4 linked regions of the Saccharomyces cerevisiae S288C genome follow. Changing the gene in region 1 together with any one later gene gives a genetic interaction. Each region holds a gene or a part of one and is shown in the gene's direction. Other genes may lie near its edges. The genes, in order: ESS1, JLP2, CTH1 and GAB1.

Evidence for each region.
Region 2: mutations in ESS1 (region 1) and JLP2 impair growth when combined (synthetic growth defect), as found in Saccharomyces cerevisiae (2 studies listed by BioGRID, with this or other methods).
Region 3: of ESS1 (region 1) and CTH1, extra expression of one rescues a mutant of the other (dosage rescue), as found in Saccharomyces cerevisiae (2 studies listed by BioGRID).
Region 4: mutations in ESS1 (region 1) and GAB1 together harm fitness more than expected from each alone (negative genetic interaction), as found in Saccharomyces cerevisiae (2 studies listed by BioGRID).

The regions. Positions count from the first base shown.
Region 1 is NC_001142.9:463,198-470,745, reverse strand, and holds ESS1 (peptidylprolyl isomerase ESS1), read left to right. Parts: upstream 1-3,712; coding exon 3,713-4,225; downstream 4,226-7,548. Other genes in the region: methylthioribulose 1-phosphate dehydratase MDE1, read left to right, coding at 1-516; U4/U6-U5 snRNP complex subunit LSM8, read right to left, coding at 633-962; REC107 (Rec107p), read left to right, coding at 1,167-1,482, 1,563-2,191; TES1 (palmitoyl-CoA hydrolase), read left to right, coding at 2,465-3,514; dihydroxy-acid dehydratase ILV3, read left to right, coding at 4,538-6,295; YJR015W (uncharacterized protein), read right to left, coding at 6,493-7,548. UniProt on the Saccharomyces cerevisiae protein: Essential PPIase specific for phosphoserine and phosphothreonine N-terminal to the proline residue.
Region 2 is NC_001145.3:531,701-539,343, reverse strand, and holds JLP2 (Jlp2p), read left to right. Parts: upstream 1-3,773; coding exon 3,774-4,400; downstream 4,401-7,643. Other genes in the region: glucose-induced degradation complex subunit GID8, read left to right, coding at 1-655; ERG29 (Erg29p), read right to left, coding at 793-1,506; REC114 (Rec114p), read right to left, coding at 1,735-1,779, 1,896-3,137; ribosome biosynthesis protein RRB1, read left to right, coding at 4,646-6,181; DPI35 (Dpi35p), read right to left, coding at 6,317-7,225; POM152 (Pom152p), read right to left, coding at 7,527-7,643.
Region 3 is NC_001136.10:760,634-768,496, reverse strand, and holds CTH1 (putative mRNA-binding protein CTH1), read left to right. Parts: upstream 1-3,341; coding exon 3,342-4,319; downstream 4,320-7,863. Other genes in the region: ENT5 (Ent5p), read left to right, coding at 526-1,761; GIR2 (Gir2p), read right to left, coding at 1,994-2,791; NUM1 (Num1p), read right to left, coding at 4,623-7,863. UniProt on the Saccharomyces cerevisiae protein: Binds to specific AU-rich elements (ARE) in the 3'-untranslated region of target mRNAs and promotes their degradation. In response to iron deficiency, promotes the decay of many mRNAs encoding proteins involved in iron-dependent pathways.
Region 4 is NC_001144.5:1,055,788-1,063,783, forward strand, and holds GAB1 (GPI-anchor transamidase subunit GAB1), read left to right. Parts: upstream 1-1,546; coding exon 1,547-2,731; downstream 2,732-7,996. Other genes in the region: NBP1 (Nbp1p), read right to left, coding at 25-984; YLR460C (uncharacterized protein), read right to left, coding at 3,970-5,100; seripauperin PAU4, read left to right, coding at 7,132-7,494. UniProt on the Saccharomyces cerevisiae protein: Component of the GPI transamidase complex. May be involved in the recognition of either the GPI attachment signal or the lipid portion of GPI.

The DNA.
Region 1 (7,548 bases):
ACATTAGAGTATTTGCGCTCTCCCAAGCTTTACAAGCCAAGCGCATGTACTCCATTGTTCTTAGCGTGCTACCAAAAGAAAAATGCAGGTGCTATAATACATACACACTCCCAAAATGCTGTGATATGCTCCTTGCTATTTGGCGATGAGTTCAGGATTGCTAACATCGAACAAATCAAAGCAATTCCAAGCGGAAAGGTGGACCCTGTGACCAAGAAACCCATGGCGCTATCGTTTTTTGATACGCTGAAGATTCCCATCATTGAAAACATGGCGCATGAGGACGAGTTGATCGATGACTTGCACAAGACTTTTAAAGATTATCCAGACACATGCGCCGTAATTGTGAGGAGACATGGCATTTTTGTTTGGGGTCCGACAATCGATAAGGCCAAAATTTTCAACGAAGCCATCGATTATTTGATGGAGCTGGCCATAAAGATGTACCAAATGGGGATTCCTCCCGACTGTGGCATTGGCGAAGAGAAGAAGCATCTGAAGATGGCCAGTCCGTGACGGGTTAATGCTTAAATTTATTGTATGATTTATATACTTCTATACATGGTATTATTATTATTATTATTATTATTATTATTATTATTATTATTATTATTACTATTATTGCAACTATATTATTTTGTCTTTGATTCGTACACTTTTTCCCATATTACATGCTCATTTTCGATTTTATTCTTGGTGTCCTTTAGCATTGGGACCTTCTTTTCGTCTATAGGAGCTAGACTGTCATCATTTTCTGCATCTATGAGGCCAACAAGAGCAATCTCGCTGCCTCGAAGTAACTGTGCCTTGCAGATGAATTCCTTGCTTATGCGGTTGAAAACATTGGTTATGAATAGATTAGTATTTTTGTCGAAGCCGTTTAGGCTTGCTATGAGGCATTCGCCGTCAACTTTGATTATAACAACTCTTTTATTTAAGTAGTCTTTCAAGGTGGCTGACATGGTGCACGATAGTGTGTTCTTCTTGTATGGTGTACTGTATGCAGCTTGCTGGTCCATCTTATAAGAACCACGTAAGATTAGTTTTTTTTTTTCCCTTTACGCCATGATAGTATTTTCAGGACTTAAAGGGAAAATCAACAAGAACAGAAAGAAGGAAAACAAGCAAAACAAGGATACTGCAGACGTGTAGAAACATTTAGTAAAATGGTCGCTAGAGGTAGAACAGACGAGATATCTACAGATGTTTCAGAGGCTAATTCTGAACACTCGTTGATGATTACAGAAACATCATCACCGTTCAGATCTATATTCTCCCACAGTGGGAAAGTAGCGAATGCAGGCGCTTTAGAGGAATCGGACAAGCAGATACTGGAATGGGCAGGTAAACTGGAATTGGAGAGTATGGAGCTGAGGGAAAACTCTGACAAGCTAATTAAAGTTTTAAATGAAAATTCTAAGACATTATGTAAATCGCTAAACAAGTTTAACCAGCTACTGGAACAAGATGCTGCTACGAACGGTTCGTACCAACACAGTGCATACCCTCAAGTTTTTTATTCATTTTCTTCCAAAACACATTTACTAACAACTGTAGTATAGGAAACGTGAAAACCTTAATAAAGGATTTGGCTTCCCAGATTGAAAACCAACTGGACAAAGTGTCAACAGCAATGTTATCGAAAGGCGACGAGAAGAAGACAAAGTCGGATTCCAGCTACAGGCAGGTATTAGTCGAAGAAATAAGCAGGTATAATTCCAAGATAACGCGACACGTAACTAACAAGCAGCATGAGACGGAAAAGTCGATGAGGTGCACCCAGGAGATGCTCTTCAACGTCGGCAGCCAACTGGAGGACGTGCATAAAGTGCTCCTGTCTCTATCCAAAGACATGCACAGTCTACAAACCCGCCAGACTGCTCTAGAGATGGCGTTTCGAGAAAAGGCAGATCACGCCTACGATCGCCCGGATGTGTCTCTGAATGGCACCACACTCCTGCACGATATGGACGAAGCCCACGATAAGCAGCGTAAGAAGTCCGTGCCGCCACCAAGAATGATGGTCACAAGGTCCATGAAACGCAGAAGATCCAGCTCCCCAACCCTATCCACCAGCCAAAACCACAATAGCGAAGACAATGATGACGCTAGCCATCGGCTGAAGCGTGCGGCCAGGACCATTATTCCCTGGGAGGAACTAAGACCCGACACTCTGGAATCTGAGCTGTGAAACGGGCGTCCTGCTTTTTCATTCTACACAGGCATATGTAACAGCAGTGTATAGGCTATGTAAATCGGCCCAATCAACAAACAAGCGTTGCTTATTGGACTTGCTACTACCCCAACAAAGGAGAGAGCCTTTGATTGCATCCTCGGAAGAGACGGCATAAACACCGAGCCTCATCCTACAATGAAAAACCACGCCAGTTGGATATAAACCAGAAAAGGGTTTCAATTCAGTATCCACCATGAGCAAGACAAGATAAGACAAGATTGCATAAAAATGAGTGCTTCCAAAATGGCCATGTCCAACCTAGAGAAAATATTGGAACTGGTTCCTCTTTCGCCTACCAGTTTTGTCACAAAGTATCTGCCTGCCGCGCCCGTAGGGTCTAAGGGCACTTTTGGTGGAACGCTGGTATCACAATCGCTGCTGGCGTCATTGCATACTGTGCCATTGAACTTCTTCCCCACATCGCTACATTCGTATTTCATCAAGGGTGGTGATCCGCGGACCAAGATCACGTACCATGTGCAGAATCTGAGAAACGGTAGAAATTTCATCCATAAGCAGGTTAGTGCTTATCAGCACGACAAGTTGATATTTACGTCGATGATCTTATTTGCCGTGCAACGGTCCAAGGAGCACGACTCCTTGCAGCACTGGGAGACGATTCCAGGCCTGCAAGGTAAGCAGCCAGACCCTCATCGTTATGAAGAGGCCACTTCGCTTTTCCAGAAAGAAGTTCTGGACCCACAGAAATTGAGCAGGTATGCCTCATTGTCCGACAGGTTCCAAGACGCAACCTCGATGAGCAAGTATGTGGATGCGTTTCAATACGGAGTCATGGAGTACCAATTCCCCAAGGACATGTTCTACTCGGCAAGACACACCGACGAGCTGGATTATTTCGTCAAAGTGAGACCTCCCATCACTACCGTGGAGCACGCGGGCGACGAGTCTTCTTTACACAAGCATCATCCGTACAGGATCCCGAAGAGCATTACTCCTGAGAACGACGCTCGCTACAACTACGTGGCCTTTGCGTATCTGTCCGATTCCTACCTCCTACTCACGATCCCGTACTTCCACAACCTGCCTTTGTACTGCCACAGTTTCAGTGTCTCGCTCGACCACACGATTTACTTTCACCAGTTGCCTCATGTGAACAATTGGATCTATCTTAAGATTTCGAATCCCAGGTCCCACTGGGACAAGCACCTCGTACAGGGCAAGTATTTCGACACACAGTCGGGACGCATCATGGCAAGCGTCTCTCAGGAGGGCTACGTTGTCTACGGGTCAGAACGAGACATTCGAGCCAAGTTCTGAGGACAATTCCCTCCCACGTATAAACACATACATATATATTCTTATATTATATAATAATATCCTATTTATTATTACATCACCTTTCACGAGCGGGTATCATACCTTTTTCCCTTCGATCTAAGTAGAAAAAGGACCTGAATGATCATTGTGGTACTTATTCCCACGCATAACCGACTACGGCACCACAACGACGCACCAATGCCATCTGACGTAGCATCGAGGACCGGGCTGCCAACCCCGTGGACCGTCAGGTATAGTAAGTCCAAGAAAAGAGAGTATTTTTTCAATCCAGAGACGAAGCACTCGCAATGGGAGGAGCCTGAGGGCACCAACAAGGACCAGCTACACAAGCACTTAAGAGACCATCCAGTGCGTGTAAGATGCCTGCACATTCTCATCAAGCACAAGGATTCAAGAAGACCCGCATCGCATAGATCCGAGAACATTACGATATCCAAGCAAGACGCTACGGACGAACTGAAAACCTTAATCACGAGGTTGGATGACGACTCTAAGACGAACTCCTTCGAGGCCCTGGCTAAAGAGAGATCAGATTGCTCTTCATACAAGCGAGGCGGCGACCTCGGCTGGTTCGGGAGAGGCGAGATGCAGCCTAGCTTTGAAGACGCTGCCTTCCAGCTCAAGGTCGGCGAGGTAAGCGATATCGTTGAATCAGGAAGCGGTGTTCATGTGATCAAGCGGGTAGGTTAGGTTGGCATTTGCTTCTCCACCTCACCTTTTTATGTTCTTATTCCCTCTTGTATCCATTCCGTCCTCGCTGAACCCATGAAAAGAAAAAAAATTAACTAGTCACATAGTTAAATGGCGCTGTTCTTCGCTGCGAGCGGAACCGGGCCTGAAAAAAAATTTTCTCTTTTCCTCTCCAGATGACTCAGTAATATAGTAGTATATTATATAATGTAACAAAAGAAGAGACTGAAGTTTTATTATGCATTGTAGCGCCTGTAATCTTTAGTAACGGATTCTTGTATTTTTTTGTAAACAGCCAAGAAAAAAGTAGAGATGGGCTTGTTAACGAAAGTTGCTACATCTAGACAATTCTCTACAACGAGATGCGTTGCAAAGAAGCTCAACAAGTACTCGTATATCATCACTGAACCTAAGGGCCAAGGTGCGTCCCAGGCCATGCTTTATGCCACCGGTTTCAAGAAGGAAGATTTCAAGAAGCCTCAAGTCGGGGTTGGTTCCTGTTGGTGGTCCGGTAACCCATGTAACATGCATCTATTGGACTTGAATAACAGATGTTCTCAATCCATTGAAAAAGCGGGTTTGAAAGCTATGCAGTTCAACACCATCGGTGTTTCAGACGGTATCTCTATGGGTACTAAAGGTATGAGATACTCGTTACAAAGTAGAGAAATCATTGCAGACTCCTTTGAAACCATCATGATGGCACAACACTACGATGCTAACATCGCCATCCCATCATGTGACAAAAACATGCCCGGTGTCATGATGGCCATGGGTAGACATAACAGACCTTCCATCATGGTATATGGTGGTACTATCTTGCCCGGTCATCCAACATGTGGTTCTTCGAAGATCTCTAAAAACATCGATATCGTCTCTGCGTTCCAATCCTACGGTGAATATATTTCCAAGCAATTCACTGAAGAAGAAAGAGAAGATGTTGTGGAACATGCATGCCCAGGTCCTGGTTCTTGTGGTGGTATGTATACTGCCAACACAATGGCTTCTGCCGCTGAAGTGCTAGGTTTGACCATTCCAAACTCCTCTTCCTTCCCAGCCGTTTCCAAGGAGAAGTTAGCTGAGTGTGACAACATTGGTGAATACATCAAGAAGACAATGGAATTGGGTATTTTACCTCGTGATATCCTCACAAAAGAGGCTTTTGAAAACGCCATTACTTATGTCGTTGCAACCGGTGGGTCCACTAATGCTGTTTTGCATTTGGTGGCTGTTGCTCACTCTGCGGGTGTCAAGTTGTCACCAGATGATTTCCAAAGAATCAGTGATACTACACCATTGATCGGTGACTTCAAACCTTCTGGTAAATACGTCATGGCCGATTTGATTAACGTTGGTGGTACCCAATCTGTGATTAAGTATCTATATGAAAACAACATGTTGCACGGTAACACAATGACTGTTACCGGTGACACTTTGGCAGAACGTGCAAAGAAAGCACCAAGCCTACCTGAAGGACAAGAGATTATTAAGCCACTCTCCCACCCAATCAAGGCCAACGGTCACTTGCAAATTCTGTACGGTTCATTGGCACCAGGTGGAGCTGTGGGTAAAATTACCGGTAAGGAAGGTACTTACTTCAAGGGTAGAGCACGTGTGTTCGAAGAGGAAGGTGCCTTTATTGAAGCCTTGGAAAGAGGTGAAATCAAGAAGGGTGAAAAAACCGTTGTTGTTATCAGATATGAAGGTCCAAGAGGTGCACCAGGTATGCCTGAAATGCTAAAGCCTTCCTCTGCTCTGATGGGTTACGGTTTGGGTAAAGATGTTGCATTGTTGACTGATGGTAGATTCTCTGGTGGTTCTCACGGGTTCTTAATCGGCCACATTGTTCCCGAAGCCGCTGAAGGTGGTCCTATCGGGTTGGTCAGAGACGGCGATGAGATTATCATTGATGCTGATAATAACAAGATTGACCTATTAGTCTCTGATAAGGAAATGGCTCAACGTAAACAAAGTTGGGTTGCACCTCCACCTCGTTACACAAGAGGTACTCTATCCAAGTATGCTAAGTTGGTTTCCAACGCTTCCAACGGTTGTGTTTTAGATGCTTGATGCATTATAGGCCCCAATCGATGAATATATATATAGAGATTCTCCTTTTCCATCATCTTTTTTGTTCGCAATCTTTTCATATATATATATATATAAATATTTATTATAGTCCATTGAATGGATAAACATTTATTTAAAAAAAAACAACGATCAGTATTTTTTTATTTGAAAAGTCGCCTTAATTATAATCTACGAAATTAACTCTGCTTTGCTGCCACTAAAGCCTTCTGTTTTAGTTTTCTACTAGCATACTTGCCAACAAATGGTAACAGTGCCGTATTCAAGGCAATGAGTGCGACTAAAATACCATAATTCCGACCCATCTTGCGTCTTGTCACGTCAAAAAAAATAACCCTGTAGATATCGATGACGTTGTGAACGGGCATCATGTACCCATATCTATAAACATTATTGTTTAGCGCTAATGGGAAGAAAGAAGGTGCAATATTGAGAATGACAAATGATAGGATCCAGAACCCGAGATACTGGGGTCCTAACGTAATAACAAGCATAACCGCATTTTCGTTAGCTCCTCCCGCAGCAAGCATGAAGAGCCACGTAGACATCCAATATACGACGAAGCCACCTCTACCAAAGGACTTGGTAAAATCGACTTGAAAGATGGCGGTTGTTGTGCAGAAGAACAAAGACGCAAAGAAAAAGGTGAACCATGACATAGCGATACGGTAAATTAAACCGTTGGCTGGTCTTAGCACTTTTGCCATTTCTACGTGTAATGGGCCGTACAATAGAAATTGGAAAAAAGTTAGCAGTAAACAGTAAACAACACCGATTTGTGTGGGTGCCAGTAGAATACGGTCTGTGAATGGTCTGTGGTCATAGTATTCGTAGTTATATTTACCTGCTGCAGCGATATACCTTGCATTGTTAGTTAGTGCATAACGATATACCTGGGTTATGTTTGTCAATAACGGCGGCAGATAATTTAGTGTGTAGAATGTATGGTAGTACTCTTCAATGGTCTGAGCAACCGGTAAAATCGTTGATTTTAGGTTTGTCGGGTCTCTACCAGTTTCATATACCACCTGATTAAACAGCGTAGAATTGAATAGTGGTGCGGTATCGTTGATTAGTGATTCAAATAGAGTCTCCGTGGCGTTTGGCTTGATATTAATGGCAAACCAGTATTTTTCGTCGTAAACCAAATCGACAACCTTGTCATTGACTTGCTGTGGCGTATTTACGTCGAACTTGGCCTGGAAGGTAGGACTGTTATAAATATCCCAATCACA
Region 2 (7,643 bases), on another chromosome or scaffold:
TTCGTCAAGTGTCAAAAAGATGCAAGAGTTAGAATTAGCAATGACTCTGCTGCTTTTCCCCTTGTCAGATTCGGCGGACAGCGGCAGCATTAAGCTGCCCAAATCGTTACAAAATCTGTACTCGATATCTCTAAGATCTAAGATAGCAGATCTGGTTAATGAGAAGCTGCTGAAGTTTATTCATCCAAGGATTCAATTTGAGATCAGCAATAATAATTCCAAATTTCCAGATTTGTTAAATTCCGACAAGAAAATAATTACGCAGAACTTCACGGTGTATAACAACAATCTCGTCAATGGTTCAAATGGTACAAAAATAACTCACATTTCGTCTGACCAACCTATCAACGAAAAGATGTCAAGCAACGAGGTCACGGCTGCTGCTAATTCAGTTTGGCTAAATCAAAGGGATGGAAATGTTGGCACAGGTTCAGCGGCGACAACTTTTCATAACTTAGAAAATAAAAATTACTGGAATCAAACTTCTGAATTGCTTTCCTCTTCAAATGGAAAGGAAAAAGGTTTAGAATTCAATAATTACTACTCTTCCGAATTTCCCTATGAACCAAGATTGACGCAGATAATGAAACTGTGGTGTTGGTGCGAAAATCAGCTTCATCACAACCAAATAGGGGTTCCTAGGGTCGAAAACTGACATACATAGTACGTATATATTTATATATGTGTGTGTGCGTGTGCATGTGTGAGTGAGTGTGTGTGTGTGTGTGTGTGTGTGCCTACCTGCATGTATGCATTTAGCAATTGATTTTTCTTTTTTTTTTTTGGAAGCTTTCATAGTATGAATTCGCATTTTATCGTGTTTCCCGTATCAATCTTCAGGAAACATAATTGAACATCATCGATATTCAATGGCAGTAGTTCATCTTTATGATTGTAAATTTTGACACCGTTGGAAATCGTAAACTTTCTTGCCCCTTCACCGCCCTCATTCTTAATTATATCGCGATATATTTCGCAATCTTTAAAGTAGTGGTAAAGTCTCAGCCTCAATACACGCAAGGTAGTACCAAACTCAGGTCTTTTTTCATTTTCATAATCCTCTGGAGAAAATTCAACATGAAATTTTAATGGGGTGGACAGAAGTTCTTTCCCATCTACAATAACATTACATTCGACATCCAATTCTGATACAAACACAGGTTTTGCAAAAAACTTATCGCGATCTTCGAACTCTTCAATAACAATACCGCTTTTCTCGTCTTTGTATTCTTTACCGTGATATTCATCACTCACCAACATCCGATGAAGCTTCAGACTTTCATCGATTCTTCCACGCTCTAGTTCTTCTGATGTGTTCTTTTGTAGAAGACTCATTTCGATCGTTATATACAGTTCGTTAAAAAATGCAAGCGTACCAACCACTATCAAAAAGAGAGTTATCCTACCACTTATTCGATCATGGATAAATTGATGAACATATGGCAACTCCTGTAGTTTATTTATTAATTTTAATTCGAGATTTAGATACCTATCCTTTAACGACATACCGGCCTTTGGTTCTTTTTCTATACCACACTTTGCTATAAACACTTCCAAGTATATTGCAGATTTGCGATGTGATTCAATTTTTATAATGCTTTATATTTTGTTTTTTTTTCATAAAGGCTTACTTAAACGAGCTTGCTCTTCTTGCTTAGCGATATTGCCGAAACTCGGGTTTACTTTTCCATTTTACTTCGTGGCTAGTGTAAAAAGGAATTGCAAAAAAAGGGTTCACTTTTCGAACATTTTATTGAGAACCGTTTCAACCTTATTAACCTTTTCATTCATATTTGTAGTGGCAAAAGTTGTTAGTTAGTATTTCTTTGTCAAGTCAGAGAAAATGAGTGGATAAGAGGGGGAAACAGCTCAGTTTCTTGCAAATGCATACATACCCATTTCATGAATTCTTCGTCTTTCAACTTTTCCTTGATTAGCCGCTTAGATATTTTTCTTGACGCATTCCGATTAACGTTTTTAACTCTTATCGTTAATCCTTCGCTTGGCGATGCTTCTTTCCTCGTTTCATTAAGTGTGCCGTTAGGTAGCACTTCTTTATTTCTATCAGGGGTATGTGTATTTCCAGATTTTTGGGGGTTTGTTAGTTTATCATCAATATTTTTCTTATTACTGGTATTTTTCTTCGCCGTGTTGTCTTTCCCGGGGCTCCATATAATCGTTGGTGTTGCATCTAAACCAGTGACGCTTTGCATCTGACTTTCCCTTTCCTTTGGTATATGAATAGTTTCTAATAAACCAGTTTTACACAGAGCAATCTCCTTTCTTGAAGTAAAATCAGAAGTGGTGTCGACTTTTTTCTTTTTGTTTTCTGCATTAGGAAGGCAGTTGGTAGTGTTTGGTGGAGATTGAGAAACCTCCAATGGCTGTACAATTAGCGACTCAGGACGACCCAAAACAGTTTGCGTAGCCATTGGAGTGTTGAGGTCTTGTGAAGATTGTACTACATTTAAATCCGTGTTTGGCCATATTTGTTGAGCTATTTGAATGCTGTCGTGTGGTAAAGTTATATTTGAACGATTATTTGACTCTCTTTCAGATTCTTCCTGATAACGTTGACTGAAATCCATAATCATGTTTTGAGTTTGAAATTGCGTGTTCGGATTTGTGTAGCTACTAACTTTTGGACCTTCTGTGAAACAGACCTTTGTACCGTTATTATTGCCTTGCACCTGGCTTGTTATTGTACTCTGGGCTATTGATGTCCTAGCTGTCCTTAAAACAAAATTAAGGTTCTTTAAAGAAACTACAGTCCTGTTGAACTCAACGTCATTTGGCAAATTCATCTGAAACCTCCTTAACATTCTGGGTCCGAATTCTTCGGAGATATATTTACAAGAGATTATGGGGCTTTTACATGAAAATTGTATTAAATCTTGATTATCCCCCAGCGGCAGGCGAATATTTTCGAGAAGTGTTGAATTATTGAGAACCACATTGATCAGAATTTGTCTAGAGTCCATTAGAAGAACCCGAAATTGGAGAGTGCAGTTAGCGGAAAGGTGTTGCCACTTGTCTATCTGAGGAGGCTCAAGCATTGATTGAAAACCATTTGGAGCGAAGGAGGGAATTGTATACTTGGAGTATTTCTTTATTACAACTGAGCAGTACTCGTACATTTTTCTCTTTTTTTTTATTTTAGTTCTCTCTTTCAAACTTAACTTGACGATATGTTAAAACCTTCTCCTTTGCTTTTTATAAGTTAGCCGCCCACCTTGTAACGAAATTCTCTATTAGTAAAAAAAAGTTGATATTCTTTCAGGAACCCACCAAAATGGGCTTCGTATTTAAGTATGTATTAATAATTTATGTTATTATTATTTAAAATACTGAATACTTTAACAGTCATTTAAGTGTTTATGAATATGCAGACGGTAAACTGAATTTTATTTTATTCCTACAAAATCACATCGTAGAACATATAAGTAGTCATTACATCTATAAAAAAATTAACAGTGGTTTGAAAACATTCGTTGTGCTCGATCAATCATTTGAAAAGAGACTTCTTATTTTTTCTGAATGCTAGATGCTATTTACTTTCATCTTTTATACTCTTAATTTATATTTAGTTTAGGATATAGATTATCCTAGGCTTTAATATTTTAATGGAAAAAAACTACAATAAGATTGAAACAAAGAACTTGGATAAAAAAACAAAACAACTCTGTAGACCAGAGGACTGCCTTATACTTAAAATTTAGAAAGTAAGCGAATAGAATTATAAGGCTCAATTGAAATTCAACTTTTCAATAACAATGGTGTATTTCTATGAATCAAAACCAACTGAGTATTCAACACCTTACCAAATTGTGATGGGCAAAGATAAGTTTGAAAACGATCTACTTATCAAATGGAGCTATAGGGAGTTAAACTATGTTTGGTTTCACGCGGATAAGTACTCAAGTGGTCATGTTTATTTAAAGTTACGCCCAAATGAAAAAACAATCGATGACATACCGCAAGAAGTGATATGTGACTGTCTGCAGCTATGTAAATCAGAATCCATTCAAGGAAACAAAATGCCACAATGCACCATCTTGATAACACCATGGCATAACTTGAGAAAAAACAGGTATATGAATCCCGGTGAAGTATCATTTAAGTCTCTAAGACAATGTAGAAAAATGGAATGCGGAGCACGAGATAACAAAATACTAAACAGACTGGCCAAGACAAGGGTAGAACTATTTAATAATGTGGAAGCTACACTTAACGAAGCAAAGAAGACCAAAAATGGTGATTTTTTTGTAAACTATATTGAGTCGAATAGATCAAATCTTATTGAAGAAGAAAAGCTAAGGAAAGTAGCGAAAAAAAACCAAAAGAAGAAGAACAAACAGTCTAAAGATGAGGTTACTGACGATATGCAACTGGAAGTATGATATCATCTACATAACGTAGACGCTTCAAAATAGAGTACCATTTGTACTTACATCGTGATCACGTTTCTTTTTTCGTTCGAGCCGTGAAAATTTTTTTCCTTTCAGCGAAAAATACAGAAAATAAAATCCAACTGAATTTAGCGATGAGATGATCATTTCTTATAGGGATTGTAGTTGTTTGAATTTGTAGGTAAATAGTTATATCACCTACTCTCCGTTTTCATATACACGGAAATAGCACCATAATGTCGAAAAGGTCTATCGAGGTCAACGAGGAACAAGATAGAGTGGTCTCTGCTAAAACAGAATCTCACTCTGTTCCTGCTATTCCCGCCTCTGAAGAGCAAGATGCTCCCAAGAATGACCTAGAAGAACAATTGAGTGATGAATTTGATAGTGATGGTGAAATTATTGAAATTGATGGCGATGATGAGATTAATGACGAAGATGACCTTAGGAAAAAGCAAGAAGAAGCTGAAACTTTAGTACAAAAGGACCAATCCGAAGGCAACAAAGAAAAGATCCAGGAGCTTTACTTACCCCATATGTCTCGTCCATTAGGGCCAGATGAAGTCCTTGAGGCTGATCCCACTGTTTATGAAATGCTACATAATGTCAATATGCCATGGCCATGCTTGACATTAGATGTCATTCCAGATACACTAGGTTCTGAACGTAGAAACTATCCACAGTCTATTTTGTTGACCACGGCTACTCAATCTTCCAGGAAAAAGGAGAATGAACTAATGGTTCTAGCACTTTCTAATTTAGCGAAAACACTTTTGAAAGACGATAATGAAGGTGAAGATGATGAAGAGGATGATGAAGATGATGTGGATCCAGTCATTGAGAATGAAAATATACCATTGAGAGATACAACCAATAGATTAAAGGTTTCTCCTTTTGCCATTTCTAATCAAGAGGTGTTAACCGCTACAATGAGCGAAAATGGTGATGTTTATATATACAATCTAGCTCCACAAAGCAAAGCTTTTTCCACACCAGGTTATCAGATTCCGAAGTCTGCTAAGCGTCCTATTCACACTGTAAAAAATCATGGGAATGTTGAAGGCTACGGGTTGGATTGGTCACCATTGATCAAGACTGGTGCGTTACTATCAGGTGATTGCTCAGGACAAATATATTTTACCCAAAGGCACACATCGAGATGGGTGACTGATAAACAACCATTTACTGTTTCAAACAATAAATCCATAGAAGATATCCAGTGGTCTCGCACTGAATCCACCGTTTTTGCAACCGCAGGATGTGATGGATATATAAGGATTTGGGACACAAGATCAAAAAAACATAAACCTGCTATCTCTGTTAAAGCTTCTAATACTGACGTAAATGTCATAAGTTGGAGTGATAAAATTGGTTACTTGCTAGCAAGCGGTGACGATAACGGTACATGGGGAGTATGGGATTTAAGACAGTTTACGCCAAGTAATGCTGACGCCGTCCAACCGGTTGCTCAATATGACTTCCATAAGGGAGCCATTACTTCCATTGCATTCAACCCATTAGATGAGTCTATCGTTGCGGTAGGCTCAGAAGATAATACTGTGACTTTGTGGGATTTGTCTGTAGAAGCTGACGATGAGGAAATTAAACAACAGGCCGCCGAAACAAAAGAGCTACAAGAAATTCCACCACAATTATTGTTTGTTCACTGGCAAAAGGAAGTTAAAGATGTCAAATGGCATAAGCAAATCCCAGGTTGTTTAGTAAGTACCGGTACTGACGGTTTGAACGTCTGGAAAACAATCAGTGTCTAAACTGTATAATACTTGGATCATATATTTACACATAGTAGATTATTAATAAACAAACCCATTCAAAGATATAGTAAATATTACTGGCGGATATGAATAATATCTATCATACATATTTGTTACTGTAACGTTAGGCGCTCAGGGAAAGAGTTCCTCTAAAACCTCAAGATTCGAAACAACGTACTTTCTTTCACTCAACTGTAACGTGTCAGTTTGCTTAGTATTGGCTTCCCAAGTGTTTATTGAATTATTATCTATTTTATCAATTGACAGCTTGTATTCGTCCCGCATTGGTTTACTAATCGAGTTTGAAAGAAACCCGTATTTATCATTTCTATCTAACAGTATACCAGTCCAACCGGCAGCTTCTGCCCCTTCGAGATCGTTCTTTAATTCATCTCCGATGTGAAAGCAATGCTGTAGAATTTCCTCCCTGGTGTACTTTTCGAGTAAATGAGGTTGTTTAGATATAATATCGTCAAGCGCATATTGAAATATTGCTCTATCAGGTTTGGCGAGATTAAGCTCATATGATAAATAAATGTGACCGGAAAATGTCTCAAATAATCCGATATTCTTTAATAATTTGTAAAAAATTGGATCAGTATTGCTTACTATTCCTAAGATAACATCAGGATGTCTTGACTTCAAATCCTTTAAAAATTTGATCAAATCTGGATAAACAAAATACGAATCGAAGCCCTCAAACCGCATTAATATTTCATTTATCATCTCATCGGGAATTTCGTTTGGTGCGAAGACGTTCCTAATCAAGATGGACCACCATTGTTCGGGCTTGATACCAGAATATTTTCCGTATTGGGGATAGTCTTCCTTCAGTTTTTTAAAAACGTGTGGAAAATTGTTTGTTAAAGTCGAAGGATTCGCCTTGATACCATATTTACGCCCAACAATGCAGTATTGTTCCATGACGGGAAGTTTTGTGGCGTATAGTGTATTATATGCGTCGAAAGTAATAATTAGTGGCCTTGCCACCCTATGAACTTCAGACCACGCATTTATAGGTATTCTTTTCGGATAGGTCATTGAGCCAATTTCTGTGGATGTTCAAAAGTCTGCTTTTAACACACCTCTATAGACCGTAAAGGACAAAGGTCTCAGCGCTCTCTTTTTCTATTCATTCACCTACACTCTTTCGAGTTACTATGAGCGAAGATAATTGAATCGAGCGTCTTGATAATTTTGAAGAAAAAGAACAACAAACAATACAGGCGTCTTTTTCGCTTTCTTAAGTATTTTAATACTGATGTACAGAGATATATTATACATTACAATTGTACAAAAATATTGCGGGAAAGAAAAATTTCATCAGACTTTCTTGTAATATTTAGTTATTGAAAAAAAGATCATTTTTGGCAAAACAATAAGCATCTGTAATTTCAATCGCCTCGTAGGTACCTTGCAAGCTTGTAATTACCTTGTATTCATGAGAATATATATCAGT
Region 3 (7,863 bases), on another chromosome or scaffold:
CAATACAGCAAAAATTGAAACGAACTATTCTCTCTTAAATTATATGTATATGTATAAGGTATGTGTATGTATGACAATCAATTCTTATAACTAACTCTTCCTACCTATATCGGAGTATGTTGCCAGGCTTGCCAACTAGCCAACTACCGCCTAGGTTATGCCTGTTAAGTTGACGCCGCCGGGTACCGCCCCCTGTTTTTCCCACGTTTCTTTCTTTCCTCTAGGTAACGGATTTTCGGCTTATTTTCCACAGCGAGAAAATTTTCTTTCTCCTGCACTTTTTTTCATATTCAGGTCCTTTGATCCATTCATTCATTCTTGTTTTAATTTCAATCTAGATTTTAGTTTTCGGTTGAATTTATCTTTAGTTTTTTATCAATAAGAATTGGTCTAGCTTATCTTTCCAGGCTGCTTATAGTTTACTTTTTTTAAAAAATTATATTTCTATCCAATATACAAATCGGAAGGGAAATTCATATACACAAATTAAACGTTCCAATTGCATAAATACCAACACCATACAAAATGGACTCATTATCAAAAAAGATTCAAAATTTAGGTATCCATGATATTAGAAATGCCGCAAGGTTTGCCCAAAACGTGATAGTCCAATATGAGCCTTATCAGATAGATATCCGTCGTGCTACAAATACCGATGCTTGGGGCCCCACACCGAAGCACCTCGCCAAGGTTTTAAGGAACAGATACCAAGTGCCGCTCTACTTGATGACAGAATACACGTTGAAAAGATTAGTCGACCATATCGCTACCAGGCCCAAGAACCTATACGAAAAGGCAAGAAAGGACTACGTTAATTATGGGTCCGAATGGAGGGTGGTCTTAAAATGTCTAGTAGTCATTGAATTCCTATTATTGAACGTCGACACAGGTGACGAACTGAATCAGATTAGATCATGTTTGCTCACTCATAAGCATATTTTAACCAGGGAGATTGCCCAATTCAAGGTAAAATTCTCCAATGATGGTAAAATGGAGATTCATGAGAGAGGTATTAGGAAAAAGGGAGAACTTATCTTGCAATACTTGGAAGACTCACAATTTTTGAAAAAGGAAAGAGCCAAGAATAAGAAGAATGCCTTGAAAATTCGACAGCAAGGAGAATCCTCCATTTATAATGCCAACCAGATTTCAACGTCTGCAAGTTACGATAACATCGACGACGATGAATTTGATGCAGATGCAGATGGCTTTGACAGTGAAATGGATGCTAATAATGTGACCAACTTCAATGTTCCTGTGGAAACAGAAGCAAATTCGAATACTCGCAGGCGTTCTCATATGGAAGAACAAAGAAGACAAAGAAGGGAGATATTAAGAGAGCAGATCAAAAATAAAGAACAGCAGAGGAAAAGAAAGCAACAACAAGATAGCATCCCTGACTTAATCGATCTTGACGATAGTACTAGCACCACGAATAATATAACAATAGACAATGGTAATAATGACAACAAAAACAATAATATCAACAGCAATAGTGATGATGATGATGATGAGTTTGGCGACTTCCAAAGCGAAACGAGTCCCGACACAACAGCACCTAAAACTTCCAATAGTAAAATAGATGATTTGCTTGACTGGGATGGCCCAAAGTCAGACACAGATACCACCGCTGCTGCGCAAACATCATTGCCCTTTGCGGAGAAAAAACAGCAAAAAGCCCGTCCTCAGGCTACAAAGGACAAGTCGAAGGGAAATGATGCATTTTCCGACTTATTCTCTTACTCCAAGTCGTTGGTCTAATCACCAAATACCCCTTCATCTCCCAATACATTCAATACAGTCAACAAATTTTCATTCTCAGATATATGTATCCATATATACACTAATAATATCTTACTAAAAACTTGTCTATTTCCTTCTTCAAATGTCAGTTTTCTTTTTATTGAATATCAAAAAAATATTATATAGATACATTTGTATATGTCATTATCCATGCAGAAGAAAATACTTAAATACTTAAGTACACAAGTATTTATTGATTTGCTATTTCGGTCTTGGCAAGTCCCTTGGCTACGTCATCTACACTCGCGTCATCCTCTTCCATATACTCGTCGCCTGTGCCCACCACGCCTTGTTCAAACATTTGCTTACCGGTTAGCTTCCCATGATGAGCCTTCATCCTTCTCACCTGGTCTCTTTCATCCAGTTTCAGTTCTTGGCGAAATTTAGACCTCCATTCCAAGTACGATTCTCTTGTGACTTTAGTACCATGGAACTTGGCCTGTTCCTTCTTTTCACGTTCTTGTGCTTCCAGCTCGTACTGCTTCTCGAGCTTATTCAATTGTTCACTATACCATTGCTCACATCTTTCTTTTATGGATGAAATCAATGCAAAACACATTTGCATACCCAATAACATATCGGTTTCGATTTGCGATTCTAATTGTACGGTTAATTCAGGCAAGTACCCCTTAAAGCTTATTAAATCTGGCAGGTTTTCAAACTTTTTCAGTACTTTATTACCATGGTCGTCATATTCAACCTCGTCTTCATCTTCCTCGTTATCTTCTTCGTTGTCATTGAGGGCTACTTCTTGAGCTTCCAATGAAATCAGGCATGGTTCGTCAGGGTAGTTTTCTGGTAACTTGAATTCGGCGATTATAGTGTGCTCTTTGGTTAAAACAGAAGTAGAATCACCTGTATCCAGCTCTAATTTAATGGCTACTTCAAATTTAATCTTTGGGTATTCATCGTTTATGATCCTCAGTTCATCAGGATAAATGGACTCTAAAACTTCTAGTTCCTGCTTCTGTTCTTCCTTATAATCCATAGTATTAACAAGTGCCTTCTGGATATGGAGGGAGGGCTTTTCCTTAAATTATACCAACCGACAGCATGGGAAACTCAGCTCTTTAAAGCCAATCTAACGATGCCTGCTGATTTTACAATTGGAAAATAGAAAATTTTCATTTTCCACCTTCTGTTACCCGAGTTTATAGACCTAGGATTTCCAATCATTACTTATTAGGACATTCGGGAAAAATATACATATATGGCCCACTTCTCTCACATCTCTTTTAGGGTCTGTGCCAATGGCACCCAAATTTTTCTTCTTTCTTTTTCGCTCGTATTCTCTCACGCTCTTGATCAGTGTGAGCAGTTACTAATATACTGGATCAGAGAACATTAACTCAAAGGTTGATAGTGTAGATCATTGGACATAGTGTGACGGTTTTGCACTCTTGTTGCGCTTGCTCTCTTAACAAGTCACATCTTATTTAGCCTCTTCACCCATAAGTTGATTGTAAAGCCGTAGAACCCTATATCACAGTCTCTTCGGCAACTCAACCAATAAGAACTATTAAGGATTAACACTAGCCATGATGCCGAATGTTGCTCCAAACAGCTACTATTTAAACATACCGAATGCCAATTCGACCTCAACGACTACGTCCTCGATCTTTTCTGATCTCAACAAGGAGTACGAGTCAAAGATTAAAGAAATCGAAGAATATTATATAAAGACACTGCTCAATGAAAATACCGATAATGATGACAGCAGCAGCTCCGAGGGGCATAATATAAATGAAACGGACATTTTAAGTGAATACTCACCAAGGCCTTCTCCTTGGTTACCATCCAAACCAAACTGTTATCATCCGTTGGGAGATTTTAAAGACTTGATCATATCAGATTCCAGACCTACAAATACATTACCTATTAATAACCCTTTCGCAGGCAATAATAACATCTCAACACTTGCTACAACTGAGAAAAAACGTAAGAAAAGGTCACTCGAAGTTGAGATTAACCCTACTTACACGACAAGTGCATTTTCATTACCCCTGACAGCGGAGAATTTACAAAAACTATCTCAGGTGGATTCTCAGTCTACTGGACTTCCATACACACTTCCAATTCAGAAAACAACAAAACTGGAACCTTGTAGAAGGGCACCTTTGCAGCTTCCTCAATTAGTCAATAAGACCTTATACAAAACTGAGCTCTGTGAATCTTTTACTATTAAAGGCTATTGTAAGTATGGAAATAAATGCCAATTTGCTCATGGTCTTAATGAACTGAAATTCAAGAAAAAATCAAACAATTATAGAACTAAACCTTGCATAAATTGGTCGAAGTTAGGCTACTGTCCGTACGGTAAGCGTTGCTGTTTCAAACACGGTGATGATAAGGACGTTGAAATATATCAAAATGCTAACGATGGAAGAAGTAAGGATACGGCGTTGACTCCACTTCCTACTTCCCTAGCCCCAAGCAACAACGATAATATCACTAATTTGAGTAAGCCTAGGAACTTACATACTAGTGTTAAAGCATTGCAAAGGATGACTTGGTAGTCGGTCAACAACAAAGCCCTTTGAATATTTGGCGTATTTCTGCTGCCTCTCCTTATTTATTTATTCATTATCGTTTTCATATTTATTTCAGTCACAAAACAAAATTAAAGAATTCGTGACCTACTAACATGAGAATTAGTTAATTTAATCTTTTTAGTTTATTTATTTCATTAGGTAGAATTTTTTTTTCTTTCTCTGATCTTTCAGTGTTACTCATCGGTGGCAAACGTGTTTACAGGACTAAAAATCGAAATAATGATTATTATTGTTCTTAATTTACTTAGAGTTATTTAGTTTTTTTAACTATCGTAAATTGCCAAATGATCGGCTTTGTGGTACTCTATGTCTTAGAGACCTTGTAGATACGGACCTTCTCGATGCGCTAAGTCTTTTACTGGAGCTCTTTGTATTTTCGCCGGGCAATGGGAAAATCTTTCCTGAATACATATTATCTGTTGGATCATCAGCGATGTCCTCTAAACTTATCCCTTGCATGTTCCTTTGAAGTAAATAACGTAATGAATTATACCAAATATTGTGTCTTTGCCTTGTAGGACAAGTAAACTTAATAGTCCTAGTTTCTGTGGTAACAACAATACTTTTGTGATACAATCCTGTTGGATATGGGTTTGGGTCTGTGACACTTTCTACTCCTAGAATGGCAACACCTTTTGTTTTGGTATTGGCAGGATTCTCTAGGATGGGATTAGAAGCGGACCAGTACAAAGTTAAGGTATATGGATGAACCCAGAAGAATCTTTCATGACGTGATTCGAATCCAAAAGGTCCCAAGCGTGGATAATACTTAAACAAATATTCCCCAATGACGGTTTGGGTTAACGCGGGTATTATGCTTGGTTCGTTCAATGATGCTAAAGTTTGTAAAGATGCCGTCCTACTGGCAGATCCTGCACGTGACATAAATGATGCTACTATATCTCGTCTAGATGCTGGCGTATTCCTCGATGAATGTGTGGTTTTTGAGGTTGAATTAGAATTCAGACTCTGTTGACGTTTATGGTGCTTATGATGATTAGTACGATGAGACTGCTCTTCTATTTGTGGATGACTTTCGGAATCTTCATAAGCAGTTGTTGCTGCTGCTTCTGCAAGTCCCTTTTTTGCTCCAGACTTTGTGGACACAGTAGATGTTTTATTGTTTAGCTTATGCGACACATACTCATGTTTGGATGCCGTGGCTTGACCTTTCTTATCTTCCTTTGTTGTTAGTGCAATCTGGAGCCCACGCTTTTTAACTTCCGCTTGTAATTCTTCATTACTAACACAGTTCCATTTCATGTCTTCAGGTGACATTAGATTATGGTAATAGGACGCGGAAAGCACAACTATATCGCTCATATCTTGAGCACTTGCATATGATGCACCCACAAAATTACTTTCAGGAATACACAACATACCATATTTCATAGCTTGAGTTTTAATAATGTCTACATCATTTTTGATTTCTTGGCTTTCATCTACAAAGCTATCAGATATATCGTCACCATAAACCGCCTCATTTTGACTCATTATATTATCATCTCTTGATAACAGTGTTTTCTCCCTACTAGTCAAAATCAAATTACGATCGCCAGCGGGTTTCTTGAGTTGCCTTACTGTGAATGTTGGATCATCCGGCCCATATTCGACTTCTTCGTTGTCCATATCATTGTGGGGAACGGTGTTTTGGAAGGCACCTTCTTGCGCTGTGTTTGTGGTTTTTGCTGCTAAGTTTTGATTTTCTGACAAGGGATTATTCATTTCTTCCATGCCACCATTCAGATTAACCGCGTTATCTTTTAGTATATGATATTCTTCAAATTCCTGATCAGAAATGAGGGTCATACCATATTTTTCTGCTTTTCTAGATAAGTGATCAAGATCTATGCTACTGGCAACGCTAGTGTCATCGTTGTCCTTCGAAAATAATGGAGCTTCAATGTTTTTCAGATTGATATTTGATTTTTCGAACGGAACTAATTTGTAGCCTAATTTTTCAGCAGAATTCTTGATGTTTTCATAGGCGGGAATGAAAATGGTAGCATCTTTCACTGTGGATGATTTCGAGATTATGTCAGTATAATCTTCATTATTCTGCAATTCGACACGATTAAGCTCTTCGATATTATCATCTAGTGCATCTGTAAACATGCTCGATGTTGTGGTCGAGTTACTGCTGGTCGTATTTATTGATTGTTCATCAATGCGCTCTGCACGCTCAGCTCCAGAAAGTTTGTTGGGTTTTTGGAGGCATAATTCCATACCGAATTGGTGGGCATATACTTTCAAATCTTCATAAGTAATGGGAGGGCAGGGACTTGTAGTGTTTACCAGTTGTTGGTATTCTATGTTTTCTACTATGATGCTATCAAAAATGGCGGCCTTTTCTTTCAAAACATCTAGGCTAGGACGATCTATTTGATCCCGCAGTTCAGAATATTCCTTTTCTGAAATGATAATTAGCCCTTGCTCCTTGGCTTTCATTGTCAAAAATTCAGAATCTGGTTCAGATAATAGTTTCTCGTTTCTTTTATGCGTAGATTCATTAACTAGTATTTTCCCCATTGATAGCGCCTTAGTGGATAAGAAATCGATAGTTGGTTTCTCAATCGAGCGTGACATGGTCGCAAAATCATCCTTGTCTACCAAGACTTTATTTAATAAAGATGCCTTTTCGGAGAGGTGGATCACTGTCGGATGTTCTGATACTGCTAAAATGTTTTTATAGTCATCTTCTTTTATTAAAATATGATTATTCAAAACGGCTTTCTCTTTTAAGTAGCTCAAGCTGGGATTTCTATAATTTGTAACCATTAAATTGTACTCAGACAGAGGCACTACAATGTGGTCGATTTTCTCTGAAGAAATTTTCAAATAATCCAGTTGTGGCTTTTCGTATTTAGCAACCATCAATTCATAATCTTGTCTAGAGATTGCGACGTAATCCATTTTGTTCAAAGAATCCTTTAGATAATCAAAGTTTGGATTCTCATACTTTCCAATTAAATCTTGGTAGATAGTATTAGGAATTGCAATGTAGTTTAGTTTGCTCAAGGTGTTAATTAAGTCTTCAACATTTCGATTTTCCAAAGGTTCTCTTAGAGTTGAGTACTCGTTTTGGTCGAGCAAAACCAAGTTCAAGTGATGACAGGATTCCTCTAGCTCCATCCGAGTGGGATGATTGCATTTTCTTATAGTTTCATCATACTCGATTTGGTCAACAAGTATTTTGTTCATTCCAGCAGCCTTTTCGATTAAAAATGTTAAAGAGGGATATTCTATTTTCTTTTGCAATGCTTCCTTCTCCTCGTTCCTCAACAACACCATTTCATTGCGGGCAGCCTTTTCTTGCATGTAGTCAATATCTGGTGAATCAATCATTTGTTTCATGCGATCCAGCTCAACCTCGCTAACTAATTCATATCCCAGTGCTGATGCTTTTTCTAAAATAAATTCGTAGCCTGGATTTTCAATGGCTTCTTGCTTTTCTTCGTAATCATGTTTACTAATTATGAGCATTTGATATTTTTCACATTTTTCCTTC
Region 4 (7,996 bases), on another chromosome or scaffold:
ATACTTTTAATTTCACAGGAGAAATTAAGATAAATAACTTGAAAAGTCCACTGAGATTGGTGAAAGTGTTTCATCCTCTTTTTCAGTTTCCCTTGAACGATAGGGTGGAGTGGGACAGGCGGGAGATATGTTTTCCTGTAACGGCTGCATCTCTGGTATATTTCCATCCCGATTATATGTTTTCATGGGGCTGGAAGTGAATAATGAATTCGTTCTTCTTATTGGAGACGGGGAAAGATCAATTTTCAAGGGCTTAATCTCATCGTTTTCTCTAGCTAGATTAGACATGGTTCTCCTAGATTTGGTGTATGATGGATGAATGTTTGAAGAATCTAGTAAATCCTCCAAAATCCTGTACTTCTCATTTGAGTAATTCAATGCTTCTTGTAATGATTGTAGCTTGCTTTCCAAGGCTTTTATTTTCTCATCTCTTTTCTTAATTTGCCGCTGTAGAAGAATTTCTCTATCTAAGTATAATGATTGATTTCTATCTTTTCCACTCGACCCGTCAGAACTACCACTTCTTAGTTCACTGATCCGTTGCTTATTGTATTTCAACTCCGATATCTTTCTCTTAAAGGCATCACTCCTTAGGATCCTAGATTTGGCTGTATCTGTGTCCATATAAGAAGGTCTTCCCTGGGATCTCTTCTTCAAAATTCTAGTCATGTCGCCACAAACATTTTGCATCTTGCTCATATTTTCATTATCATTGGAAAAAACATCTCTGATTGTCTGGAATATCTTTGTTAACCTTCGTTTGGGTGTTTTCCTCCTGTTAGTACGAATTTTTTCTTCAGTTTTCCTATCTGTCACCTTTCTAGGTCTTTTTAGAACGCTTTTACCCGTAGGACGCATCTGCTTTCTTCTGCTCCTTAAGGCAGATCGTTTTCTCACTTCATCAAGGGACCCGTATTCTCGTTTCCTGCCATCATCTCGTATTCCAAAAAAATCTTTCCACAGTCCCTGTACGGATTTTAGCATATTACCAATGTCTATTATTGTACCTTTCTCTTCAGAGTATCTACTTGTTCATGTTCAGCAATAATTTCATAATTGTTGATGCGCGCATCGTTTCTATACTATGACGCGTCACGAATTGTGCTAGAGTGGCCTCTAATGAAAGTATAAGAGGCGTTGGCGAAGGTCAAGGATAGACCATTGGCTGTTTCGGATGAGTTATTTTTAAAGTGTAAAGGTATAACATCAAATGAATGAAAATTAACATTGATCTCAGCTCTCAATTTCTTTCCTCATTTGTTTTCGATGTTTCTATATGAGTATACATTAAACAAGTAAATCTCAAGCTCTTGTCAAAACAGTTATTTCCAACATATCTATCTGCATTATTGGTAGCATAATTCTCAAAGGAAGCTAAAACATCCTTCTTAAAGACGTCTATTGGCAAACGATATGTTACGTATTCCGGGTAAAACAAATATTCCATTAAGTGAAATGACCTTTGTTTTCAAAACTAACCAGTTTTAGAACAGTAATTCATATAAACAACGTGATCTTATATGAAAAACTCACCAAAAGGAGACCAATGGATTCCACAGCACTTAAGGTAGCTCTAGGCTGTATTGCAATTCGTTTGGCTGTGAACAGCCTTTTTCCCTCTCTACAACAACAACTGGACCAGTCTGTAGAATTCTCAACTCCCGTAACTTCATTTAGGTCACTACAGGAAGGTATATACCTACTGCGGAACAACATCCAAGTATATAATCATGGGGTTGTTCACCATCCTCCAATTTTGATTTTTTTTCTTTCCCTCTTTAATTCCGACAGGTTAATTTCCCTCATATACGCTTTAATTGATGGATTAATTGCGTATCAGCTGACAGAGGTAACAAAGGCTTTCAAAAACTTGAAACTGAAAGTTTGGCTACCTGGACTTCTTTATGCCGTGAATCCTTTGACCCTTTTATCGTGCATTAGTCGGTCATCAATCATATTCACAAATTTTGCTATTTCATCGTCATTGTATTGCATATTAGCTGAAGGAAACGTTCTTTTGTCCTCTGTTATGATTTCTATATCTGGATATTTGTCAGTATACCCTATTCTCCTCTTAATTCCGCTATTAGGTATGCTGAAAAGTTGGAGGCAAAGAATATTATCTGCCATTGTTTCCATACTATCTTTATTAATTCTGCTATTATTCAGCTACAGTATATTAGGCAGCCAAAGTTGGTCATTTTTGACACAGGTTTATGGATCTATTATAACCTTTGAGAAGGTTTTTCCAAATCTGGGTTTGTGGTGGTACTTCTTCATTGAAATGTTTGACACCTTCATACCGTTCTTCAAGGCTGTATTCAACATTTTTATTGCAGTATTCATTACACCATTTACTTTGCGCTATCATAAGCAGCCATTCTACGCATTCATTTTATGCATTGGGTGGATTGTCCTTACAAAGCCATATCCCTCACTAGGTGACGCTGGTTTTTTCTTCAGCTTCCTACCTTTCTTCACGCCACTATTTGGATATTTAAGATACCCCATCATATCAGCATTACTGTTTTTACACGCAATTGTTTTGGCGCCAATTTTCTATCATCTTTGGGTTGTTTTAGGTTCAGGGAATAGTAATTTTTTCTATGCTATTTCCCTAGTTTATGCTCTGGCTATAGCATCTATATTAGTTGACTTGAACTGGGCGATGCTGAGAATTGAATACGATAACGGTATCCCAAATTTCAAATTGAAGGTAACACAAATTTAACTACTTCCCGTCTATAAACGTACATAAACTAGAATAAAAAGAACCATACAGATGTTCATCGTAAGAGTGGATAAAGCGAATATGAGAGCCATATTGGTTATTCCAGAGGCTATCTATTTTTTAAGAGAAACTGCTTGGTTAAAATTTGCATAATATTGTCTCGGAGAGAAAAGATAGAACTCAGAAGGACCTAATTAATCATGAGCGTTATAATACGAAGAATTGAGATAGAGTGTATGATCTGCGGATTAAGCTCCTACATAATAACAACATTGTACTTGGGACTATGCCAATTTCTTTCCCACCAAAAGTCGTATGAAAAAGGTTATCTTCGCTAGGGCTTCCATTAGGTGAAAGCCAATATATTATCATAGAATAGCACGGCATAAATATATATTTTGTGCTGTCTTTTTGGGAAGGGTAGTTTGACAACCCATGTACATTAACATAAAAAGAGCTTTATCATTAACGGACGAAGAAAGAATGTGTATCGCGTATTTTTAGACTATCGATAATCTTTTTTAAAGTTATGGTAGATAGAAGATGGAATCAGTTACGAAGTGATGAGTTCCCATACATTCCAGCCTGTTTACATTAGCTAATTTAAAAAAAAAAAACATAATTAGAATATTACGTGATGACTCAGTTTAAACGGTACTCTGTAACACATCATTTCTATTTGTTGTTCTAAAACAGGTTCTACATATTTGGATCTGCTGTGAGAATGACCTAAAAGGTAAAACTCTCTTTGTAATAATCCAAGGAAAGTGGGAGTTCCTTGGGGAAGCTCTATTGCAATATATTGTAGTTTCCATTCAGCCTGCTTATCGCCTTAGGAAAAAGGAATGTAAGAGGCAGAAAAGTGCGGCGCAATCGTTCGGACAGCGAGCCGCCATTATAGGTAAGAATACTTAAAGAGCTTCGCCGGATATTATTACAGTGTATTAAATTTCGCCAAGTCTTTGCCAATGGAAATGGGTGCATAAATTTATGTGCTTGGTACATATGAGTTCAATAGATATGTAGTAGTTGGATAGTAGATAGTTAGGATATATAATCATGGAAGGGTTACTCACAACGAATCACATAATGAGTTATGATTTTCACTGTGCTCATCTGTTGCCCCTACAAGGGGTGATCAATAACAAACAATTTCATTAAAAAAAAAAAAAAAACTAAGTCACTATAACTAAACGTAATAACTATGTATATGAAAGAAAATAATATCTGTTCGTCATCTAGTTTAATACGGCAACGAGTTTTTCACCAGAGTTCTTACCATATTTGATGTCTTTTAGGATATGAGGAACATCACAAAGCCCGTTCTTATAGACCCTTACTGGAATATGGCGAATTTGTCCATCATTAATCTTTGGATTGATGAATTTGATAAATTTTATTGCAGCTTTCCTAGCTTCTGAGTCGGCTGGTAAAGTAATGTTTCCAAATGGTACTTCATGGCCACCTATTGAATATAGCCTTATTATGTCAATAGTAACGTTTTGTCTCCTGTTCTCTTTTTTGACGTTTTCTTCTGTCAAATTTTTTAATTCAACAATTGTAGCATCCTGTTTATCGGCCGCACATTTGTACACTTGTTGAAGCGTATCTTGATTCGCGACACAGTCGACTAAATACGAGATATTGTTGTACTTGTGTTTAATTTGTTCTACCACGTCAATATCATGATAATCAAATAATTCATCAGCACCATATTCTTTCAAAAGTTTTTCGTGCTTCCGAGAAGCCACAACAATGATCTTGGTGAAGCCATTCAATTTATTGGCTAATTGGATGAGCGACTGACCTACTGCAGTTGCACCGCCCCATAATAAGATGGGGCCTTTTCTTTGTGGGGTTGATGGCTCCCACTTCAGGTCCAAGCCCAAGTTATAGGTCAACACCAAGCCGGCTGTGGTCAGTGACACTGGGATAGTGGCTACACCTTCCAAAGACCTGACAGGGCCGGCAGGTAGAACATCCTCACCCAAAAATTTGAGTTCATTGGGTGATTTGTAGGCAACCACAGTTGAAATAGCAGAATATTCAGCAAAAGCACCATTGGAAGGAAACCTTACGGAAGATCCGTGAATGAACCCATAAATATAATCACCGATAGAAAAGTCTTTAGGATTGACAGCTGGGCCCAATTTGACAATTTGGCCAGCAGCATCACATCCCAGAATAGATCCTTGAGGCCCGATCTTGTAGTCAATGTGTGCCCAATCAGTGGGGTTACCAGCAACAGCGAGTGTCTTAATCAATACGAATCCTTCTTCCAATTCAGGAATGGGAATGCCCTCTTTAACAACCGCTTTACCGTCTTCAATGACGACAGCCTTCATGGTTTCTGGAATTGCAACTTGCATGTTTGTAGGTTATCTGTAATTGTCGTTGATAATCTGTATTCAGCTTGCCATTTTATAGAATATGGTTAGAAAGATCTTAAGCTAGATAAAGAAAAAGAAAAAAATAGAAAAAAGCCTGCCCGCTTTATAAGAACTTTTCTCAATATCTGTTGAGGAACACTTAGTAATATCGTCTATCATGGTTGCTTTATTCTTAGTGATATTACTCTCTGGGATTCGATGTGTTCTCATCATCTGAAGGGTTTTCTATGTGTTGAAAGCCTATCCCACTAGACGGAGCCGCGCGTCAGCCGGGCGGATCCGAGACATCTTAGTCAGCTGAGACAAGAAAGGCACAGCTCTCGGACAGGAACTGCTGTCATATGAAAACCTAAAAATGTTTCCTGGAAATTCCATGACTGCGCAAAGTTTGATACGTTTATTGTTCTTCTCCACTACCGCACTTTCTATCTCGGAAACCTTTCAACTAAATGAACTATTGTTAATTGTATGGCGTGTGGCCTTTCTATTTCAGAAAATTTAGAGTAAAGTAAACTCCGTCGGACTAGTATAGTAATGAAACAAGCCATTGACTCTGCAGCATATTGCGACCAAAACCTGGAAATTGGTGGCTATGAGTTTTAATTTATAATTATATGAAAACAAAGCTTGGAATGCTGAGTACTTTTTCTTCAATGCTGCTCACTGCCCAGAAGCGTTCAGAACAACTCTACTGGAGCCATTCTGCTTGAAGGAGGATAAAAATGCCAAGATCAAGTCTTTTAAAGATTCTATCCCTTTTCATCGAAGAAGCACTACAAGTTTATTTTACAGAAGTTGACAAACTGTGGAACTTGATCCATACTGAATAAGTATGGAAAACTGTTAACTTAGAGGATGCTCTGCTTTCTAAAGAAGTTTCACAGCTTTAGACTCACATGGGTTCTCATGAGTATTGCTAGCTAGTGCGAGTTTGATCTATACTTCACAGACTTTTAACACCCCGTTCCTTAAGTTTTCCCTGATTATCAAGGGTATTTCCAATTCTTACTCCCCACTATCGCTCCTTTCTTATCTGAATTGTATTTTTGAGTGGCCTAATTGTAATCTTTTATTTTGTTTTCTAATTATTGAAGGCGGTTTCTCGAAGCATTTCACGATTTCCAAAATTCAAGAATTGAAATTATGAACATAGAAGACAAAATACTTTTTTTATCAACTATTAATACACCTTTCCTAGAGAACATTTTTAAAATAAAATAAAATAAAGTAGCGCTCTCTACTACCCTTACACTTTTCTCCTTCATATCTGGCTAGAAAAGAGGGATTACATCTCGGAATCAAATATTTCCCTCTGTGCAAAGTTTTAATACTGCTACTACGAACTGGTTACAATTTTATTTTTATCATACACGATACTTTGAACATCAACTTCTCTCAATACCATCCGCCTTCAGCGGCTACAATTACGTAATTGCACCAAGGCATTCGCCGAGAGTTCACAAATTGCAGACCCTAACAGTATACGACTCCCAACACACGTTTAATGTTGTACGAATTCAAGAGATAGAAATGCTTCTTCCGCGGAAGCCGTTTAAAGCACTGAAATTAGGCTTAGACAATAGACTTCTGTACGAGGGTCCAAATCTAAAATTCAGATATTCTTTTTGACCGAAAACGGAAATCACAGGCGCGCAAAAGGGTTTTTCAAGGTACCCCGGCATCCCTATAATAGGCATTCCCACATTCTGCGCATACGAATACACATGAGTGCCATAAAACAATACTCCACATACGAAGTCTATGAAAGATGTATGATTCGTTCAGAAACAAGAGCATTTCCATACTGATAATGAGATTGTGTGAAAGATGAGATATGGAGGATATGTGAGGTGCTAAATGAGCGTCTGTTAACGAATCGTTTAAATAGTGATGACTGATGAAGGCATGGGTATAAATAGAGCTGCTTCAACTGTATGCCTTTGAGAATATGTCTTTATTCCTTTCTTTCCTGTTAAGCTTATATCAGCACTAACAAACAAAACAAATACAATGGTCAAATTAACTTCAATCGCCGCTGGTGTCGCTGCCATCGCTGCTACTGCTTCCGCAACCACCACTATAGCTCAATCTGACGAAAGAGTCAACTTGGTTGAATTGGGTGTCTACGTCTCTGATATCAGAGCTCACTTGGCCCAATACTACATGTTCCAAGCCGCCCACCCAACTGAAACCTACCCAGTTGAAGTTGCTGAAGCCGTTTTCAACTACGGTGACTTCACCACCATGTTGACTGGTATTGCCCCAGACCAAGTGACCAGAATGATCACCGGTGTTCCATGGTACTCCAGCAGATTAAAGCCAGCTATCTCCAAGGCTCTATCCAAAGATGGTATCTACACTATCGCAAACTAGGGACGAGTGCCTCTACGAATGAAAATTCATAGACAGTAAAAAGTAATGAAAAATAAAATAAAAACTACTTTTTTTTGATGATATAAATACCGTAGATTATATAAATGTATATTAATATTATAAACCTATTTGATCAATGACAGTGTTCGTGAAGCATTTTATGAATACGATAAACATAAAAAGAAACTTTTACACTATTCTAGAAAAAGGGTGGATGGTAATAAAGCTAATAGAGTATGTCCAATAAACAATAATGAAATTGGAAGCGCATGACTTCTCAGCACTTTGTCTTTCCATAAAAATGAGTCGCTGCTTCTTTTTTCATTTTTTGGCGCGTCGCGTCGGGCCGTATAGAATATGCGTCACTTCTAAGAACAAGATTGCAGATCAGGGCAGTGCGAGTTACGGAGTCATGGTATCAAACTCTCATTTAGAGACCCTCATTTTTTGACACTGAAAATATCAAAATTTCTGGGTTGCGATAGTTTTTGTGTAACCGTAA